Nothobranchius furzeri: one gene and its partner. The protein of the gene in region 1 purifies or fractionates together with the protein of each later gene. This does not show direct contact. Links are inferred from orthologs where the notes say so. Each region holds a gene or a part of one and is shown on either strand. Other genes may lie near its edges. The genes, in order: rcc1l and trub2.

Region 1 (3,922 bases):
GAATTTTCTTTAAATTTGTTTTTTTTAACAGAGATCTGTGTAAAAAGAAAAAGTGTGAATTATTTCTAAAAATATTAAAGAAAATCTAAACAGAACGCATTAATACAAATTACTTCTTTTTTTTTTTTTAAATTTACTCTCAGCTGTGTCATCTTTAATTTGAAAGGAAATTCCTACCATTGTTTTGTTATTACACAAAATGGTTTTGCATGCTGGGGTTGTTTTTTTCTTTGAGTAATTTAGCAAATAAAAAATAAAGTAATCTAGCATCTGCAGCTCTTAATGTTCTTTCTGGGAATAGTTTTTTATTTAACAAACTTTTGAGTCAACGTGGACAATGTTTTCATCCTTTTTTAAGCATTTTAAACTTATTTCTGCTTCTTGTTTTTAAACATTTTGATTTATTTTTGATTCGTGTGATGTTTATATTTTTATTGGCACAGGATCTCCACAGGGCTGTGTACTTTCTCCTCTGCTCTTCTCCCTGTACACAAACTGCTGCACCTCGAGCCATGACTCTGTTAAACTGATCAAGTTTGCGGACGACACCATCCTCATCGGGCTCATCTCTGACGGTGATGAGTCCGCCTACAGGAGGGAGGTGGATCGGCTGGTGTACTGGTGCAGCAGCAACAACCTGGAGCTTAATGCTCAGAAGACAGTGGAGATGATTGTGGACTTCAGGAAAGTCACAGCCCCATCTCTCCCCGTCGTCCTGACTGACCTCCCCGTCACCACTGTGGACTCCTTCCGCTTCCTCGGAACCACCATCACACATGACCTTAGGTGGGAGCCATCCATCAGCTCCCTGATCAAAAAGGCCCAGCAGAGGATGTACTTTCTGCGGCAGTTGAAAAAGGTCAAGCTGCCGGCCCAGATGATGGTGCAGTTTTACACGGCCATCATTGAGTCCATCCTCACCTCCTCCATCGCTGTGTGGTACGCTGGAGCCACAGTTAGGGACAAACACAGACTGCAGCGCATTGTGCGCTCTGCTGAGAAGGTGATTGGCTGCAGCCTTCCATCTCTCCAGGACCTGTACGTCTCCAGGACTCAGGGGCGTGCAGGTCGGATAGCAGCTGACCCTTCTCACCCGGGTCACAGACCTTTTGAGCCGCTTCCCTCAGGCAGGAGGTTACGGTCCATCAGGACCAGAACCTCCCGCCATAAGAACAGCTTCTTTCCATCTGCAGTTAGACTTGTGAACTGCTTATAAACACAAAACCATGCTGGTTTTCTGTACTTGACACAACATCACGTTATCAGCCATGTTACCATTACCAGCCATTTTTTATAGCTGAAAGTTTTATTCTATTTTATTCTATTTTTAATCTTATTGTTCATGTTATATGTAGCACATTAGTACCAAAGCAAGTTCCTAGTTTGTGAATTGTTTGTTCACGGACAATGGCAATAAACCTATTCTGATTCTGATTCTGGTTTCAAATTCCCTTTAGGTCAATTATGTTGAGTCGTGGTGTTGTACCCTCCAGTCCAGCAGGTGGCGCTCTGTCCTAAGGGCTTAGCGTTAGCTGTGATCACAACTGTACTGGGAAAATGTTTGTTAGCTCTTATTTAAACTACCCTGAAATATATTAGTCGACTTTCATTTATGCTTTAGTAATTTATTCAGAGCTCATAACCAGTCGTTCGGACGTTGTAAAACACTCGTTAAAAGGCGATAAAAGGTAAGTTTACCCCTAGTTTCAGGGCTGCGTGGACACGAAGCGGAGGTGGAACTCAGTTCATTAAGCCTTAAATTTAACTCAAATCTGCATGTTTTCCTGAGCACGGAGGAGTTAGGAAACATTTTATTAAATTATCCGCATTTATAAAAGCCTTTCTAAGACTCGGCCATATTGCAGTTTGAAAAACATTTGCAATTTAAAGGTTTTCGACAAAATGTGAGCAAAGATAGCATACGTGAAAGCACCAAACTTGGTGTAATATCAAAATACAATTTTGAGAAACCTCGAACAGGTACGTAGTACTTCCAGCTGAATTTCCTGTCTTGGCATAATTGTACTTAAATTATAAAACTAAACTTGACTGAATGATACATTACTTTTAATTCTAAAAATATAAGGATGCATAAATAAAATATCAAACATGAACATTATAAATACCTCATTAAAGGTGCAGTATGTAAGAATGTAGTGAGGATTTTACAGTTAGAAAATCCCAGAAGCGTCTGCTTCAGTCATTTTGGAAGTAAGGTTATACTGAAACACTTTGAATGTTTGTGTTTATTCATTTCGCAGATGCTTTTATCCAAAGCGACTTACAATTTATAACCTATAGGGCATGTTGTGATCTGTGGGGGAAACCGGAGGAAACCCATTCATGCATGGGGAGAACACGCAACTCCACGCAGAAAGGCCGCAGCCGAGGTTTGAACCTACGACTTTCGTGCTGCGAGGCAACAGTGCTAACCACTGCGCCACCATGCCCAGCTGGCTGTGGGGATTGACAGTTTTTCTCCTTTCAAAACAAAGGGAGGAGGGACATAGCTACTATTTACCATCAGTGACAGGGTTTTTCCTGGCTCAAACTGAGGCAGAGGTGGTACCATCCTGACCATGCGCCAGCACATGCATACTCTGTGTATTCAACTGACTCACTTTTTAAAAGGCAAATTATTATAAAAGACTCAATAATATACCACAACGGCTTGCCTTACTTTCTGCGCCAGCAGTAATATGACTCACATCTGCAGCGGTTCTGATCCGTAGCGCTGCAGGATGCAGAATAAACAGGATGGTGGGGAATTTTCATCCGCTTGTAGAGTTTAGTCTTTCTTAGTTTTACCATCATCATCATATATTTTTCTGTGCGCCACTTGATCGTGAGACTGCTATCCGTTAACTTTAGCATTAGCCAATCTGAGTGTAGCTGCACTTTTGATCCCAGACTTTGTACCGGTTCTGCCTTTGCTGGTTCCTTTATTGTCCTCCACTGCATCCAGATGACCACACTGTGCGCCAGTAAAAAAGCATTTTTCTTACACGTAACTTACTTTTGTTCAATAAAGTTCTGGGGAAAACAGAAATTCAAAGATGTTGCACCAGTGCTACGTTTAAAAATAGACAGACACGCACAGACAGTTGTTTTCGTCGCACTGTACAGCCCTGCTCTGATATGGAAGAGCCTGGGGGAAAATCAGGACGTCACTAGCACCAACCATAGATATGTACCAACTAGCGAGAAAAGCTATTTTTGATTTATTTCTGCAGCAGTTTTAGTGCTTTTCGGTGCACCGCTGCTGATACAGCGTCCCTCTTGTGGCGCAACTCTGCAACTGCAGTTAAAATAACATCCATATAGCTGTGGACAGAGTGAAATCAGGCTGGGGCGGCACAAAATTAGCTGGAGGTGGCTGCCACACAAATTTTAATGCAGGAAAAACCCTGAGTGAGTGTGGGGTAGTCATGTCTCCTGCGAGCCAATACTGCAGCGCCGACAATTGTAATTTGACGACTAACGGTAAAAAGCTCCTAAGTTGTTTAAAGTGGTTTCAGTAACCAAATTTTACCACAGACATTTTTACTTCATTTCTACATAATGCACCTTTAAATTTTTTTAAAACTATTTTCACATTTCAATATTTTCAAAGATATGTTTCTACAATTTGGGGCTGCGCAGTGGTGCAGTGGTTAGAGCTGTTGCCTTGCAGCAAGAAGGTCCTGGGTTCGCTTCCCGGCCTGGGATCTTTCTGCATGGAGTTTGCATGTTCTCCCTGTGCATGCGTGGGTTCTCTCCGGTACTCCGACTTCCTCCCACAGTCCAAAAACATGACTGTTAGGTTAGTTGGTCTGTCCAAATTGTCCTTAGGTGTGAGTGAGTGAGTGAGTGAGTGAGTGTGTGTGTGTGTATGTGTGTGTGTGCGCGCATGGTTGTTTGTCCTGTGTGTCTCTGTGTTGCC
Region 2 (3,922 bases), on another chromosome or scaffold:
AAAGCAGACTTAAAGCAATCTAAGTACTCAGAAGCAGGCACGTTGATCAGAAACTGATTGCAATGAATTATTGAAGGCAGTGATTTACAGTTTCCCTGTGAGTGTACACACAACTGTGTATCCCTGTTGTTTAACACTTCCTTTGTCCCAAATCTGCGTCTTCTCTGCGACATAGTGTTTGTTTTCATGGTTTGTTTACACCTTTACACACTTAACGCCATCAACATGTCTGTAGACATCCCAGAATGACACGCGTGGTCACGTGTGATCCCGAGCCCTGAGGAAACAAGCCTGATGTTTCTGTCAGGTGTATAGTACTATTTCCCTATTCAACCCTGGGGAAATTACTTTTAATGTGACAGTCAGCCGTTCGGATGCGTTTAATTTGCTTTAAGCGCCTCGTGATTTTTATCTTGAGAGGCGTTATAGAAATGATATTTTCTTCTTCTTCTATGTGGGGTTGGGTGGGCACGACGACATATCAGGGAAAACAGATCTCTACACAACACCGACACTTCCAGTCTTACTTCTTTTGCTGCAGTTGGCCTAAATATATACGTCAAAATGCAACAAATGTACAACACCAACATATCTCAAAGTCGACGACGTTACCACTTCAAGTCCTCTTGTAGTTCTAAACAAGGTTATCCAATGTGTTTCCTTTTCTACTTCTTCTTCCTTTCCGAAGGAAGGTCCGACTTTGCTGCCATCTGTGGGCAAAAGAAGCAAATGTCGCCGACTTTTCTGAAAAAAAAGTAACAAAAAAAATTACTACTTATTTCAAATAGAAACCATTCACTAATTAAAAAAAGAGACCAATCTCGTAAATTAAACAAATACATATGCCACATTTTCTCAATTCCTGTATTTTCTTCTAAAACTACTGCTGCTTTCCAACACATCCACTCCAGCAGGGGGCAGCATACAATCAGCATAAAGCCATTACACACATCATGCGCGCATGCGCAAATACACGTGCAGGACGGCTTTAGCAAGCGTTAGCATCAGTAGGTAAACATGTAATTTATGCTAGATGAAAATAGGTTGCTTTTTCCCCAACACAATGGCAACTCCAGCTATTCGGATGTTCCGGAGACTAGAAGGAGTTTTTTGTGTTTACAAACCTGCCGATGTTCACTGGAAACTTGTGCGGGACACGATAGAGACTAATCTTCTTAAAGGTGAGACACGACTTTAGTGTGAAATGCTATCAGTTTCTTATAAAATAGACCTGGAATGCCTGGTTGTGTGTCTCCAGGTGTAAACGCTACACATCCTCAGCCAGTTCCTCGTGAGGTTCGGTTCTTGGTGAGCTCAAGCGATGAACCTGGAGCAGCCAAAGGACTCAGAGTGTCTCCAGCCGCGGTCCCTGTCCTGTCGAAGCACCCACTAGGTATGTAGATCACCTGCATATTGTTTTATAATTGGTTTCGGATGCATCATGCACTATGTCTAAATGTCTAAAAGCTTTGTGGGGTTTACGTTCACAAATGAAAAAAGGACCAAAACAGGTTCAAAATTTTAGTTAAACATTTTAAGATAGAAATGTTCGAAAGTGTCGATCTACACCAGCAGCCTGCTGGGGGGACACAATTCATCCTCCTACAAATGCATTGTTGATCCATCGCACCTTTTGGACTGAGCCTTAGCTTGCGTCTCCATGATTCAGCATAGAGGTCGACCGATATTGTTTTTTTCTATTGCCGATACCGATGCATCAATAGGAGACACGGTCAGCTGATGCTGATATTTAGACGTTTCCCACCTTATTTTCATGCTAAAATGTCACTAATCACATCAGTGGATGCACAACATTTCTGAACTCTGAATTCAACTAATTGTTAAATCTTAACTTGGTGCGCTGCTCCGCGTTAGTCAGATACCTAAATAAAGTTAATTTAGAGAATGTATTATGCGGATGTTATTTGTGAATGTAAAAATACATTTAATTTAATTTGCAATAGCACCGTGCTGCCCAAGGATGTGCCTGACTTTAAATCAGCTTTATTAAGGACAAATATCGGCCCGGTGTAATTCAGCATTCAGTAAGTAGTGTACATGAGTGGGTAGAATGATGCATATTTTTCATGTCTTAGTGACTGGACCTGAATTCCAGCAAATCAAAGTTGGAGTGGGCCACCGCCTGGATACTTCGTCCTCCGGCGTCCTCGGTACAAACTTCCACTTGATCATCGGATAAAATGTCTGAATTTTATCAAGAAAATTCATAAAACTTTCTATCATTTCTGTGTTTAAGTTCTTGCTGTCGGGAATGGAAACAAGACTCTGAATGATCTGTACAATACACGAATCACTCGGGTAAATTCTCATTCCTGCTGGTTTGACACGGCATGGATTTGTTTCCTTAAGATGTTTTATTAAGTTATTTCTGTTTTGCTTTTCTATTAAGGACTATACATTAGAGTGTGAATTTGGGATGGCAACGCATGATTTCTCTCACACTGGTCGGGTTTTGGAAAGGTCCACTTATGGTATTTAACTATCGTTTTTAGCAGTTAGATAAATTAGCTTCATTTTGTACTTACAGATATCCGAGGCTATAAAAATGCAAATGTACCTGATTTGTTTTTGTCCTTTAAACGTGATCTGAACAGATCACATCTCAGAGGATAAGCTGGAGAGAGTCACTGCAATGCTGGAAGGAGCCAATCAGAAGGCTTTGAGAATGTAAGATAATGTGTTTTGCTGGACGTTACTTTGAAATCAGATGTTTGTGAGTCAACCTGACTTGTTTTTATCCTAACAGGTATTCTACGGTAGACATGGGCTCACAGGAAGCATACGAGATGGCGGCCAAAGGTTTACTGGGTCCAGACGGAAAATCGGCTCCTATTTTAACGGGGTTACGCTGCATTCACTTCCAGCCTCCCAAATTCACTTTAGGTAATAAGGACAGTCAAATATTTAAAAATTCCCATAAATCTAGTTAGAAACGTGTTTATTCTGTGTTTACAGAGGTGCAATGCCTCAACGAGACCCAGAAATATTTGCGTAAAGTTGTTCATGAGATCGGACTTGAGCTGCGCAGCACGGCGGTGTGTAAAGGAGTGAGGCGGACCAGAGACGGGCTCTTCACCCTGCAGGACGCACTCACACGTCACCACTGGTCTGCTGCGGATGTAATGGAGGCCATTTATAAATACCACTCGTCAAAGAGAAACCAAAAGAAAATCCTGTTTCCCATCAGGGAATCCACGTTAGAAACATCTGGAAGCAGACTGACAGGCACTCATCAAAACAAAGATGCAGCAGCTGGATGATCTGTTATCGAACGAATCAGCTCTAAGAGCTGTGTCTGAGCCTGAATCCCACTCTACTTAAACACAGTTCAGCTCAGCAGGAAAAGACATTTTCTGATCAGAGACGTTGGATTATGAAGAACCCAAAATAAGGGTGGTTTCTTCTTTTTGCTGTTTCAGAGCCACGGGGGCTGGTATCATTCCCAGCATCCACCAGGTGGAAGGTGTCAAGATGTGCTTCCTCATCAGACTCCTCCCACCTGTCATGCGTACACCAGGGTGTGCTCCATTTATCTAAATGTGTGTCCTTGGGCTTGATTTGGTAGAAATAAGGTTGAGATAATTTTGTTTACACTTGTGTGTGTTTCACTGAAATCTGTTTTGAAACTGGTCTCATGCTGTCTGTGATAAAGTTTTCCTTCTCAGAAAAATCCGTTTTACCTAGTAAATCTTGTAACAATTTATTTAGTAAAAAGATTTTTCTTTGTGCTCCTAAAGGACTCCATGAAAAGAACAAAGTAATTTGATTAGACGGCAGGATGAGATGAACTTCCTCTGATATCTCAAGGCAGTGCCAGTCAATATCAGATCTGCTGTACTTCCTCCCTGACCTCTGTGGATCCCAGAGGAACGCAGTCTCTGTGTTTGTGTTTCCAGCTAAA

Evidence for each region.
Region 2: the proteins of rcc1l (region 1) and trub2 purify together in Homo sapiens (affinity purification with mass spectrometry; 3 studies listed by BioGRID and IntAct, with this or other methods). This does not show direct contact. The link is inferred for Nothobranchius furzeri from reciprocal best matches to the Homo sapiens genes RCC1L and TRUB2.

What each region holds. Positions count from the first base shown.
Region 1 is NC_091750.1:67,887,918-67,891,839, forward strand, and holds the start of rcc1l (RCC1-like G exchanging factor-like protein), read left to right. Parts: upstream 1-1,490; 5' UTR 1,491-1,688; intron 1,689-3,922. UniProt on the Homo sapiens protein: Guanine nucleotide exchange factor (GEF) for mitochondrial dynamin-related GTPase OPA1. Activates OPA1, by exchanging bound GDP for free GTP, and drives OPA1 and MFN1-dependent mitochondrial fusion. Plays an essential role in mitochondrial ribosome biogenesis.
Region 2 is NC_091743.1:66,845,791-66,849,712, reverse strand, and holds trub2 (pseudouridylate synthase TRUB2, mitochondrial), read left to right. Parts: upstream 1-949; 5' UTR 950-1,033; coding exon 1,034-1,181; intron 1,182-1,258; coding exon 1,259-1,393; intron 1,394-2,096; coding exon 2,097-2,171; intron 2,172-2,257; coding exon 2,258-2,319; intron 2,320-2,410; coding exon 2,411-2,492; intron 2,493-2,615; coding exon 2,616-2,688; intron 2,689-2,767; coding exon 2,768-2,904; intron 2,905-2,976; coding exon 2,977-3,281; 3' UTR 3,282-3,758; downstream 3,759-3,922. UniProt on the Homo sapiens protein: Minor enzyme contributing to the isomerization of uridine to pseudouridine (pseudouridylation) of specific mitochondrial mRNAs (mt-mRNAs) such as COXI and COXIII mt-mRNAs.